Linked DNA regions of Coturnix japonica. The protein of the gene in region 3 interacts with the protein of the main gene of each other region in a pairwise test. Links are inferred from orthologs where the notes say so. Each region holds a gene or a part of one and is shown on either strand. Other genes may lie near its edges.

Region 1 (4,146 bases), on a different chromosome or scaffold from region 3:
GCCCATTCATATCTGACAACAGAGCCTGCTCCTCCTCTGGGAGCAAGCTATGTACTACAGCTTATAGCTGACACCCATGTGGGAAGGACTGGGGGAACAAGAAGTATTCGGGCAATAGGAGCAGCTCTGTCCAGCTCTCATGAGTCAGGACAATGACTAAGATCTCTGTTCAACAAAAGTATCAGTGAATAAAGTTTGTTTATGACAGTGTCTGGGCTCTCGGTTACCATCACATCCTCTGGAGCCTGCTTCTGCCTCATCTGCTCAGTGCTGGGAAGCAGCAACCCTGTGTACGGTACTGCTCACTGGTTTCGAGTCATTGCTGCTTTAATTGGAGCTTTGTGAAAACTTTGACCTAAAGTCCACACTAATTAACAAACATACTGCTGATGGTCTTTTAACATTCTCCTTGAAACGAAGAGGCTCACAAAGGTTTTATCAGCCAGGACAGGAGAGCGGCACTAGCTGCAGAAGATCATTAATTATGCAGCCAAATTATCATCCGCATCCAGAACCAGTCTGATGGGTGTGAGATTGTGTGCTGCTTACTCCTGTGATGAGAAACCCATTAGGCATTACATGCTCAAGCTGTCCTGCTTCCTGCCAGTGTGCACCACATGCTCAGATGTGATCTGCTATGTGCACACAGACAGGGGAATTTTGTCTGATTTGAATTTCTTCCTTTAAGCGGCTGCATTTTCTGAAAAAAAAAATGCATTAATCCAGGCAGAGAAGTAGCTGTCACCTCTTAGTAAGGAGTTGTTGGTGCATGCAAACTATTGTTTTATTAATTCTCTTTGTTTTAAGAAGAATGGTAAAGGTACGTTAAAGTGAAACCAAAGGACGGAGGAGAGTGTTGCCAGGGACTGCTAAATGGGTAGGAAATTTCAGGGTATTTAGTTCATCGATTTCCTTGTCAAGCAGTAACTGATGTTTATTGAGAGGAACGGCAGCAGCGTGCAGCCAGAGGCAGCTGCACCTGACCTAAGCTGCCTATGAACCATTCCCTGAATGTTTACCAAAAGAGAAACTTTCTGCTTCCAAGCTTGGTTCCCTCAAATCATAGGATTTGTGCAATGACCTTCCTTAAACACACAGCTGAAGGCTTTAGGGAAAGCCTGGGGAAAGTCAGTTGTCGCACCTCCCAGGTTCTAGGAGCAAAAATACCAGTGGAAGAGGTGGATTTGCATCTCAAACAACTGCAAAACCAGCAATCTCACTTGACACAAGTGTCTGTCCATTTTAACTCGAGAGGGAATACATCTCACAAGCTTTGGCTGCAGAGACAGCCCCTCAAAAAGAGCTGCAGCCTCTGCCTGCCCCAGGCCAGCTTGCAGAGTTGAGGGCTTCAGAAATAACTGGCTGCAGCCCTTCAGCAGCCAGCATCTGGAAAGCCTTCAGAGATTTACCTTCCTGCTGGAAACAATACTGCCTGATTTCCTAGTCTGCAGCAAAATGAGGCTAATCTGTCATCTCATTCTGCATGCAAGATTTATTTGCATTTTGCACAAGAAAAGTTATTCAGGGGTAAGATGCCAGCCCCTTCAAACCTCTTCCAAAAGACAAATCAATTTCTTCTTGTGATAGACAATCGCAGTTTGGAGCCAGTGACATTCTGCCTTCCAAGTCTGTGCTACAGTGAAGTCCTGATGCAGTTAATACTCAGACACACAGGCTTGGAACCTCCTTCCAAAAAGCAGAGCTCTCGTGAGGGACTGGGGGACACTTGTACAGGACTACAGAAAAGTAACATTAATTAGAAGCAGAAGGAAGAGTATTTTCAGGTGGCAAGAAAAGGATACTGAAGAGTCAAGATTCCCCAGACTGATTCAATTTATACTTTTGGAAAATACACACAGCCTCTGAGGTCTGGGTGGAAGAGTATAAAATAGTAAATTAGTAACAGATTGCTTCCTTGAGAGGAAGCTCTCAGTCTCAGAAAACTGGATTGAAGAACTGAGGATACCAGTCCTTGCGAGGCAGCATCTTTCAAAATGCCTGATGGCAAATTTAGTTAAAGATAATTTCTGTTCTTTCCTAGCAACAGGAGACAATAGATCATGCTGCTTTGATAAAGTGGCAAAGATACCTTGCTTTTGTTTTGTGTCCCACTGAATGAACAAATGAAAACAAGTCTGGTTGGGGAGGGGAGAGGGGGGTGTAACAAACAGAGATTGTGTGCTCTAATCTATTTCAGTAGCAGACTGTGAAGAAACATCCGCATTATATATTGACCAGAACATTCACCTGCTCCTGCCTTTCCTGCTGTTGGTCGAGCCCTGTTCTTGTGTCAGGCATATGGGAAAAGTGTGAATTACCAATCCAATGTGAACACTTTCCCCGAGTTGTGTTTTTGTTTGGTAGATGTTTAAGTACCCAGCAGCTATTAATTAAAAACACTCAAAATGTGCTTCGCTTTAAACCTGTGAAGTACTTTAAGTATCTCCTTCAGGGTGCGAGGATGTCTGTGCATCTTCACAGCAGTCCTGACCTCTGTGTTGCCATGTCTGTACATGGACCTTGTTTTGACAAAAAGGATCAGGCTCATCCGTACAGATGAAACTTTTGTGAGATGACATATACTCACACATACTCAGTTTTGCAACCACTGCACATACCAGTACTGAATGAAAACAGAACTCATTAAGAACTGAGTATAAATAAGTAGAGGAGAAGGTGAACAGAAGATACCAAATAAAGTTTGTTTTGCCCAAGTATGTCCTTACCCGTTTGCTTCTCTGGTAGGTTGTAAGTGAGAATATCAGTTAAAAAGAAATGCAAACCTTGAAACTCACGTGTCTGGCCTGGCTGTGCCTTGTGCTGGCTGCTGGCAGAGTCCCACTGATGCACTGTCACTGTATTTTGGCAATAGGGCCCCATCCCTACAGCAGAGCAGCCACCAGCTGTGTCACACAGAGCAGCCCACAGCATGTCAGGAGGCAAAATAAAAGTTGAAGTGCACACACCTGAGCAATTCAAGGTTTAGAGAACCACACCCTTCCAGTTATTTCTCCTGCAGGCAACATGAGCATGTGCAGGCTGCTCAGACAACAACGTAACTTGAAGCTTTGGCTTTTACTTCCGGCATACGCCAAAGTCCATTTTCAGTTTGGCTTTGCTTTGTGTTTCCTTTCTTCTTTCAGCTTTACAATCAGATTGAACTTGGACCAGTAAACTCTCTTAAAAAGTTGTTTAAAACAGAAGACTTGGCTTTCCCCCAGAGCAGGAGGATGAGGCTTGTGAGCTCTGAGGCAGGGCCCATCCCAGTGTTTTACCAGCTGCAACTCCACCTTGTTCCCATACACCTGGGGTGGTCAGCTGAGGAGCAGGGAACCATATCAGAGCAATTTGAGAACTAGGAAATCAGCTGCTAGAAATACAAGCTGTGGTAATTATCTGAACATCAGGAAACAAAGACTACTTTAAGTCCTCTTAACCAGTGATTTCCAAGGAAAATAACAATGAAGAAAGGGATAAGATGTGCAGATACCTGAGCTGCCTGTGAATGACAGTTATGATGGCAGCAGCATCATCAAAGTGCTCTTCAGTTCAAAAAGTAACTCCAGTGGAGGAAAATAAACCCTAATGCTCCAGCTACATGAATCACAAATAAACACAATGACTTAAGCAATCATGAGCATTTTCTCTTAAGGAAGGAAGCAAGACAACTTTGGAGACAGACTTGGAGGCAACCACAGAGTACACTTAAGACAGCCAGAAGAAAACCTCCAGCCTCCCATATAAACATCTACAGCTACCAGGTCTTCAACTCATTCTATGCAAAATTTGTTTCCCTTCAAGAATGTTAAGAGCATACTTGCTAATTGTGATTACAACATCCCTTACTAAATACTTAGGAAATCATCAAGAATTGCATGCTGGTAGGACTTCACAAGATAGTCATGCTCTCAGCCTTTGCTTTCTTGCCCATCACAGCACCTCTGCTCCAGGCTGCTCATGGAGATGCAGAAGGGGTGTATCAAGCCATCCCACGGTGCTTGGTACATTACCACCCAAAGCCCATGCTGGAGTCTAGGCACTGCTCTGCCCCTGCAATGGGTACAGTTTGGAGAGAGACTGTATGCACAGGATCTAGATTCCCACAGAAGTCACAAGGCCAGATATGCAAGCCCCAGCATGGGCTTT
Region 2 (4,258 bases), on a different chromosome or scaffold from region 3:
CTGTGTGCAACTGACACACTCAGAGGGCCACTGGGACACCCTACAGACCACCCCAAGGATTATAGGAACACCCCCAAAGACCCCTTTGAAAGACCCCAAAGACCACCGGAACACCCCAAGGGCCATTAGAACACCCAGAGGACTATAGAAACACCCCAAAGACCGCCTTGAAAGACCCCAAAGACCCTTGGAACACCCTAAAGACTATAGGAATGCCCCCAAAGACTCCTTTTAAGACCCCAAAGACCACCAGAACACCCCAAGAACTATAGGTACACCCTGAGGACTATTGGAACACCCCAAAGACCCCTTGAAAGACCCCAAAGACCCCTTAGGACTGTAGGACCACCTGCTGCCCCCACTGCTTCTCCAGCTCCTCCAGGTTCTTCTTGGCCAACGCGTCGTATTGCGCCCTCAGTTCTGCCAGTGCCTGGCCCAGGTCCTGCGCCTGCGGTGCGTCCACCTCCACCGTCAGCCCCGCAGATGCTGCCTGGCTCTGCAGCGCGTTCACCTCCTGCCAGGGGACAACAGGTCCTGGTTTGTCTCTGATGTGTCCCCAATGATTCCGTGATGTATTCCAGGTGTCCCCATTGTGTCCTTGATGTGCCCATGATGTGTTCTCAATGTATACCAGATGTGTCCCCACTGTGTCCCTAATGCATCCCCACCACGTCCTCAGTGTGTCTCCAATGTGTTCTCAGTGTGTCCCCGATGTGTCCTTGATGTGTCTTTGATATGTTCTTGATGTGTCCCTGCTGCCATCCCTCCCCACCTCCTCGTGGTTCTTCTTCATGAAGATGAGCTCCTCGCGCAGTGCCTCGATCTCCCCCTCCAGCTGCAGCCGTGCCATGTTGGTGTCATCCAGCACCTTGCGCAGCCCCGCAATGTCGCTCTCCACCGACGTACGGATGGCCAGCTCTGCCTCGTACCTGTGTGGCACCATTATCCCATCCCATCCCATCCCATCCCATCCACCCCTCCAATCCCCATCCCGCATGCCATCCCATCCATTCCATTCCCATCCCTCCCATCATCCATCCCACCCATCCATCCATCCCTCCACGCCCTCCCATCCCATCCCCATCCCATCTCCATCCCATCCCATCCCATCCCATCCCATCCCATCCCATCCCATCCCATCCCACCTTTTCCCACCATTCCCATCCCAGTTCCCATTTATATCCTCATCCCATTCCCGTCCCTGTTCCCACCCCATCCCAATCCCAGTCCTATCCCCATTCATGCCCCCACCCCGACCTCCCCCCCCTGCTGTCCCTGTCTCACTCACTTCACCCTGAAGTCATCGGCCGCCAGCCGCGCGTTGTCGATCTGCAGCACAGTGCGGGCGTTCTCCACCGCGCTGTCGTAGATCTGTGGGGCCAGTTTGGGGTCACAGGGTGTGAGAACCCACCAGCAGATTCCCCTCCTTCCCCTCTGTGTGCCCCTGTCCATGTCCTTGTCCCCATCCCTGTCCCCATTCCCGTCCCCATGTGACTTCAGGAAGGGGTGACCCCACTATACTATAGGGTGACTCTGGCTGTGGGGCTTGTCTGCTTAACAAAGGAGCATTAAGTAACCCCCCTCCCTCGGCCCCCATGGGCTTGGCCACGGCCCCACGTGGTGTCCCCACTGGGTGCCCCACACCGTCCCCACCCCACAGGACCGTTTCTCCCTGGCTCAGCTCCGGGTGCGAAGTCCACCCCTTCCCAACACCATGTGGGTTAATGATTAACCCCAGAACAACTGCTGGCAGAGCCCTGGGGATGAGGTGCCAGAATGTGGGGCACACTGATGGGGCCCAGGGGATGTGATGTCAGTGCCCCAACCTACCCCCTTCCCACCCCAACCCCATCCCCACCCCGAATGAACTCAACCCAACACCATCCCCATCCCCAACCCCACCCCATCCTAACCCCAGCCCCATTCCCATTCTCATCCCCAACCCCACCCCATCCCAACCCCAACCCCATCTTCATCCCACCCTCACCCCATCCTAACCCCAACTCCACAGACACCCCATTCTCAACCTCAACCCACTCTATCCTAACTCCTACTAACATCCATACCATCCTAACATCTGCTCACCCCATTTCCATCCTAACCCAACCCCATTCCCATTCCCATCCCATCTTCATCCTAACCCAACCCCAATCCCATCCCCATTCCTACCTCAACTCCACGCTATCCAAACCCCAACCACAACCCATTCCCATTCCACCCTGTCCCCATCCTAACACAATCCCATTCCTATTCCCATTCCCATTCCCATCCCCATCCCAAACCCAGCTCCATTCCCATTCCTACTCCCATTTCTACCCCAACCCCTCCCTATCCTAATCCAACCCCATTCCCATTCCAACCCTATTCCCATTCCAACCCTAATCCAACCCCATTCCCATTCCTCTTCCCATCCTAATCCAATCCCAACCCCACTCCCACCCCATCCCCCCCTCACCTTATCACGCAGTTGCTGGATGGTGTCCCAGTAGTTCCCCCAGTCTCGGGTGCTGGGCCCCCTCTTGGCCAGGCTCTCCCTAATCTGTGCCTCCAGGCGCCGGTTGTTGTTCTCCAAGCTACGCACCTTATCCAGGTACGTGGCCAAACGCTCGTTCAGGTCCTGCATCGTCTCCTTCTCATTCTGCACCATCCCAGACCCCGACAGCAGCAAGCCTCCCCCATAGCCTGCCCCATAGCCAGCCCCATAGCTTGCCCCATAGCCACCCCCATAGCCGCCCCCATAGGTGCTGGCGGTGCGGGTGATGGAGATGCGTGACCCTGACCCCCCGGCTCCAGCGTAGACGCTGGCAGCGCTGCTATGGGGCACGGGGCGACGGATGCTCCCGGTGCGGGATGAGGTGGAGAAAGTGGTGCTGCGGGAGAAGCTCATGGCGAAGGATGGATGGATGGATGGACGGACAGATGGACGAGCGGACGGTTGGATGGATGGCGGTGGGGTTTTATAGGGAGGGCCAGACAGGAGGCGGCCCCAAAGAGCCGTTGGCCCTAAGCCGATACCCAGAAGGTGCGGCCGGATCCCGTGCCTTTGAGAATGGCAAGGGGAGGGGGGAATGTAGGGGGGGACCAGGGAGTGTGCGGCCAGGGCTCGGCCCCATGGCCCCACTGCCCTACAGGGATGCAGCTCATTAATGTACAATGTGGGGCACCAGGACTCAGCCTCATATATTTAGGGGGACCCCACTGGTGTCCTTGGTGACACTTTGGGGGTACTTTTATGGACACCTTAGGAACACCTTGGGGACACATTGGGGTCTCTTTGGAGACACTTAGGACTCCACAGGGACACTTTGGGGACACATTAGGGGGCACTTTGGGGTCTCCTTGGGGCCACTTTGGGGCCACTTTGTGGGCACTCTGGGGTTTCCTTGGGCACCCCATCCTCTACCCCCATGATCCCGCTGGACACCCTCCCCCTTCTCCCCCCCGCTCCCTTATCTCCTGGCTCAGAGATGCATCAGCGCCGCATTCCGCCCTTATCACCCCATCGCTGAGCACACAAGGACGAAGGGGGGAAGGGGAGAGCTGCAAAAATGGGCCCCAAGATGACACCTCACAACCCCACAGTGCCACCTCAGGTCCCTATGGTGGCACCCTCAGCCCCCTAAGTGCCACCTGAAGCCCCCGAGATGTCACTTTGAGCCCTCAAAAGCCACCTGAAACCCTTAGGGTGTCACATCATGACCCCAAAGTGGCACCTGAAGCCCCCATAATGTCACCTGAAGCCCCCATAATGTCACCTGAAGCTCCATAGTGTAACCTTTGGTCCTCATAGTGCCACCTCAAGTCCCCAAGGTGTCACCCTGAGCCCCCTAAGTGCCACCTGGAGACCCCAAAATGCCACCTTGAGCCCCCAGAATGTCACCTTAAAACCCCATAGTGTCACTCTGAGCCCCCAAAGTGCCACCTGAAGCCCCCAGTGGACCCACCCCAAGATTCCCCCCCTGGCACACCACAACCTCCATCTGTGTTTGGGTGCTGTAGCACCCATGGGTGGAAGAGGGGGGGGTGGCAGGTGGTGATGGTGACGTGGGGGCCACCAGCCCATCAGCGCTGTCCCCGTCACCAAAGCCCAGCCCAGCCCAGTGCAAACAAAGGCAGGCACAGAGCTTTGGCCCCCACCCAAAAACGTTGCCCCAACCCCCACCCTGGGAGGACAACAAAGGGTCACCAGGATCAATGGGGGGGCGGGGGGGGGGAGAGGGGAATATTGAGGTGGGGACCTCAGGGTGACACACAAGGG
Region 3 (3,646 bases):
CTTGTGGTGGCAAGTCTAGTGGAAGTGGTACCTATCTAGAAAGAGTTTGGATAAAGTTGAATTTTTATAAAGGAGAATTTCAGTCAGAAAAGTCTTTAATTCTGGCAGTTGACCAATGTCTTTGTGCTCAAATGGGGAGGTTTCTCTTCGTTTGTGTGCTGCAGTTACTGTTGTGCCAGCTTTTTGCCTGAGAGTGTAGGAGACAGTATCTATTAACGTAAGATTCTGACTATAAATTTAATTATTTGCTTTGGTTTAAGTTGGTAGCTCTTTTTACATTTCAGCAGTTTGAAGGCTCTGCTCATCTGTGGTATTTTTATGACCAACATTATTATATTGCTGAACTTTGGCAGATGTAGGCATCCTTGTGGTGTTACCAATACCCATCTCTGGTAAGATAACTGAAATTGTGAATTTAATAGGCCTCTACCTACTTTAATGTAGTAGGTGCAGAACTATATATTTGTATAGCAGCTGGAAACTAGTTGGTTGCAGTTAGAACAGGACATTGCAGTGACAAATGAAAGTAGGCCTCTGGTGTACTTCTAAGGTTATTTCTCTTTCTGCAGGACCATTTTTAATTTTTTTTTTTTCATATTAGGCATAAATAAAAAATACTTTCTTTTTAAAACATCACTTGAATTTTGTTTAGCATTTCATTATCCTTCAGCATTATTTAGACACTTTTCTCTTCTGGCATTTAATGGACCAAAGAAAGTGTTAGATGCTTTAAGTACCTTGCTAACTTTTCCTGGCTACTGCTTTTAGAGTGAACATTAGTTAACAGAATGGGACAAGGTCAAAGAGGGATGCAGCATGTCCTCAGAAGAAGGGTGCAGGAAACTAACACTCATGAGCACTCAAGATGGGCATTGTTTGCTAGGTGGGAAAAAACACAGAAAACAAAAACACTTCGCCTTCCTTCCTGTTGAATGATCCCTGAGTGAGAACTGTGTAATTGTTCAAGTCAGGATTACAGGAATTGCCAGAATAAAGTGAGGAGAAGATTGAGAAATAGTTAAGTTTATTCTGTCTGAACTGAGCTAGTAAATTAAATGAGACAATGCCAGGAAATGGCCTTCAGCGCTGTTAGTGTTACACATGAAAAAAAAAAATTAGATGGATTTGGTAGAAGTATCTCCAGGTTATTATTATTTCCCTTAAATAGAAATTCATCAATTCTCTTACTTAATTTGACCAATAGGTCTTAAATGGAATCTGCATTTCGAGCATTTGACTAATGTTTATTGGCAGATTGTGTAAGCTATGTGAATAAATGGTATGGAAAAAGCATGAAGCTGGCAGTGAGCAATAAAAATAAATAAATAAAATCACTGAGGAAAGAAGCTTGTGTGTCCAGCTTACTGTGGTCTAAGACCAAATAGTGATGGAAGGAGGAAAGGAAGTAATGGGAAACAAAGAGGCAAAGAGGTTCTTCTGATTCTTCTCAGAAATTAGGGTAACTGAGCCCATCTTCCATTCACTAAGGCTGAAGGGGGGAAAAAAGAAAAGAGGGGTAGGAGTCCATAAGTCATGAGAGTGGAGCCAACAATTTTAGGCGAAGGTTTTTTAATACAAAAGGGGGAAAAAAAGGTTGTAAATGAGTGGGATGGAGATTGGTTTTTGTATCAGGGAAAGCTGGGTGCTCATTGTGTTATTGCTTAAGTGGAGGAAAACATGTTGTGAAAAGAGAGAAGCTAAAAATCTGTACATGGAAGTAGACCTGGGAAAAATACTGAGGAAAGGGAATTTAGAAATCTGGGGATACTTCATCTGCCAAATGATTGTGGCTGAATGGAAATAGATTGTATTGTGAAAGCAGAAAGGGAAATTACAAGAAATATTCAAATGAAGTTTTTATGATGGCAGCAGTGTTGCCAGGGTTGGAAAGATGTGTAGAATATTGTAGGGGAGATGTATTTGTAGCACAAAAATCAATAGTTTTCTGTAACTATGAGTACTTCAGATGTCGTTACTTAGGATGGAAGCTTATGCATGCAGCTAGATAAAAACTAAAGTGAATTCAATTACAATTGTTTTCAGGAGCTGGAGTTCTTCTTTCCCTCCAGTGGAGGTCACGGACCAGCCAACAGCGCAAAGTTCACAAACTGTACTTGCTGCATTATTAAGCCTCATGCAGTTAATGAAGGTAAGGAATATGAATAGTGGAGGTAAAAGAAAATTATGCTTTGTTCTGTTTCATGGTCATTCTTATGCTTTTTTTTTTTGTGTGTGTGAAAATGTGAAATAGTAGGAACACAGAGTATTTAATTGTACTTGCAAGAGTATGCAAATCCTTTTCCATACACCTTTAGTATTTCTTCAATTTACTTTCATGGGTTGTGTGCTGTGTGGATAATTTTAATTTCAGAATAAACAGTAAGAGACTGGAAAAAGAAATACAAAAAATTATAAATGAGATTAATTTAATCTCATTTAAGCTGTGATAACTGTATCCTTACTCCTATCTGTCTACAACACTCTAGTGGAGGTTAGCTTCCTCATGGCAGGGTGAAAGCAGGACACCTGGTTGTGTTACAAGGTCTTCCATTTACGCAGTAACATATTACATTAGAACTTCTTACAAAGGGACATTTTTTTCCCATACATGAATCTTGTTCTGCTGATTGCTGTGGGGATGGAAAGTAGTAAACATTTGTAGGACTCCATAGTTCTTTCTGTGCTGGAGCATATCCTGCAAGTTTACTGTATGAGCATTAGACAAGTGTAATGCCCAATTGTTACCCTGCTGAAATAACCTTGCTTTTGTAACATGTACTTAGAAACAGGAGCATGTGTAAGAGCAGTAGTAAGCGCAGTAAAATATTTCAGTTCTGGCATCTCAACAATATTTCTGAGTGTGAAATAAATATTGTCAAGTGAGCATGTCTAGACTTTTCTTGGTCAGATGCAGCACACTAGTCATGTCTCTATGGACAACTAAGATGGAGACAGCAGAAGAAATGGCCATAGGTTTCCAGACCTTTCACACCTGAAATAGGAGACTTCAGGCAGACTTCTTTGTGATAGGATTGTTAGTGTCCTTAATTGTTCAAAATTGCAAAAAAGCTGGAGTGGTTCCAGCCAACAGTTAGAAACGAGTGAAATCCATCTTCACAAAGGCTGCAGGAACTCTTCCCAGCAGTCCAAGAGTGTCACAGGGAGAAAGATTTGGTTATCTTTGCCTCCTTCTGTAGTCCTTACTCTTGTTCTCCTCTTTAGTCTGTTGCAGAGTGGCAACACCTGCTATGCTTGGTCCTTCTTCCCCATAGAGATTGTTTTGGAGTCAGGTAGAAGCATGCTGAAAGAATCTGGGTGACCCATTCATGTGAATGTGGCCCTGCTCATCTTATCTGTCTTCTAACAGCTATTAGTAACTGTGTTTGGTGATACCTGAGACCATCTGTTTGTGCCAGCAACATCTTCTGTAGCTCAATTAGAGTAGGTGCTATAGCAACTAATGAGCTTCCCTTCAGGTAAAATTGCTGGTAGGAGACTGTGTGGTATAAAAAAAATAAGCAACTTACTTTCCCTTTCTCCCCACTTGTGGACAACAAAACAGCAAAACAGTTGTCCACTCCTGTTTTGTTTTTGTTTCCTGGCAGGGAGAATGTAAGGTAAAATATAGCATCTGGAGAGAGATAAA

What was found.
Region 1: the proteins of NME7 (region 3) and LNX1 interact in binary tests that used the Homo sapiens proteins (3 or more experiments, as listed by UniProt). The link is inferred for Coturnix japonica from reciprocal best matches to the Homo sapiens genes NME7 and LNX1.
Region 2: the proteins of NME7 (region 3) and KRT18 interact in binary tests that used the Homo sapiens proteins (3 or more experiments, as listed by UniProt). The two-hybrid records come from large-scale screens. The link is inferred for Coturnix japonica from reciprocal best matches to the Homo sapiens genes NME7 and KRT18.

The regions. Positions count from the first base shown.
Region 1 is NC_029519.1:59,244,839-59,248,984, reverse strand, and holds the start of LNX1 (E3 ubiquitin-protein ligase LNX), read right to left. Parts: upstream 2,944-4,146; 5' UTR 2,796-2,943; exon of another isoform or gene 2,784-2,795; intron 1-2,783.
Region 2 is NC_029544.1:1,109,462-1,113,719, forward strand, and holds the start of KRT18 (keratin, type I cytoskeletal 18), read right to left. Parts: upstream 2,944-4,258; 5' UTR 2,888-2,943; coding exon 2,456-2,887; intron 1,372-2,455; coding exon 1,289-1,371; intron 930-1,288; coding exon 773-929; intron 515-772; coding exon 350-514; intron 1-349. Other genes in the region: KRT8 (keratin, type II cytoskeletal 8), read left to right, coding at 2,944-3,022. UniProt on the Homo sapiens protein: Involved in the uptake of thrombin-antithrombin complexes by hepatic cells. When phosphorylated, plays a role in filament reorganization. Involved in the delivery of mutated CFTR to the plasma membrane.
Region 3 is NC_029516.1:74,987,291-74,990,936, forward strand, and holds part of NME7 (nucleoside diphosphate kinase 7), read left to right. Parts: intron 1-2,043; coding exon 2,044-2,149; intron 2,150-3,646. UniProt on the Homo sapiens protein: Possesses an intrinsic kinase activity. Displays 3'-5' exonuclease activity with a preference for single-stranded DNA. Does not seem to have nucleoside diphosphate kinase activity.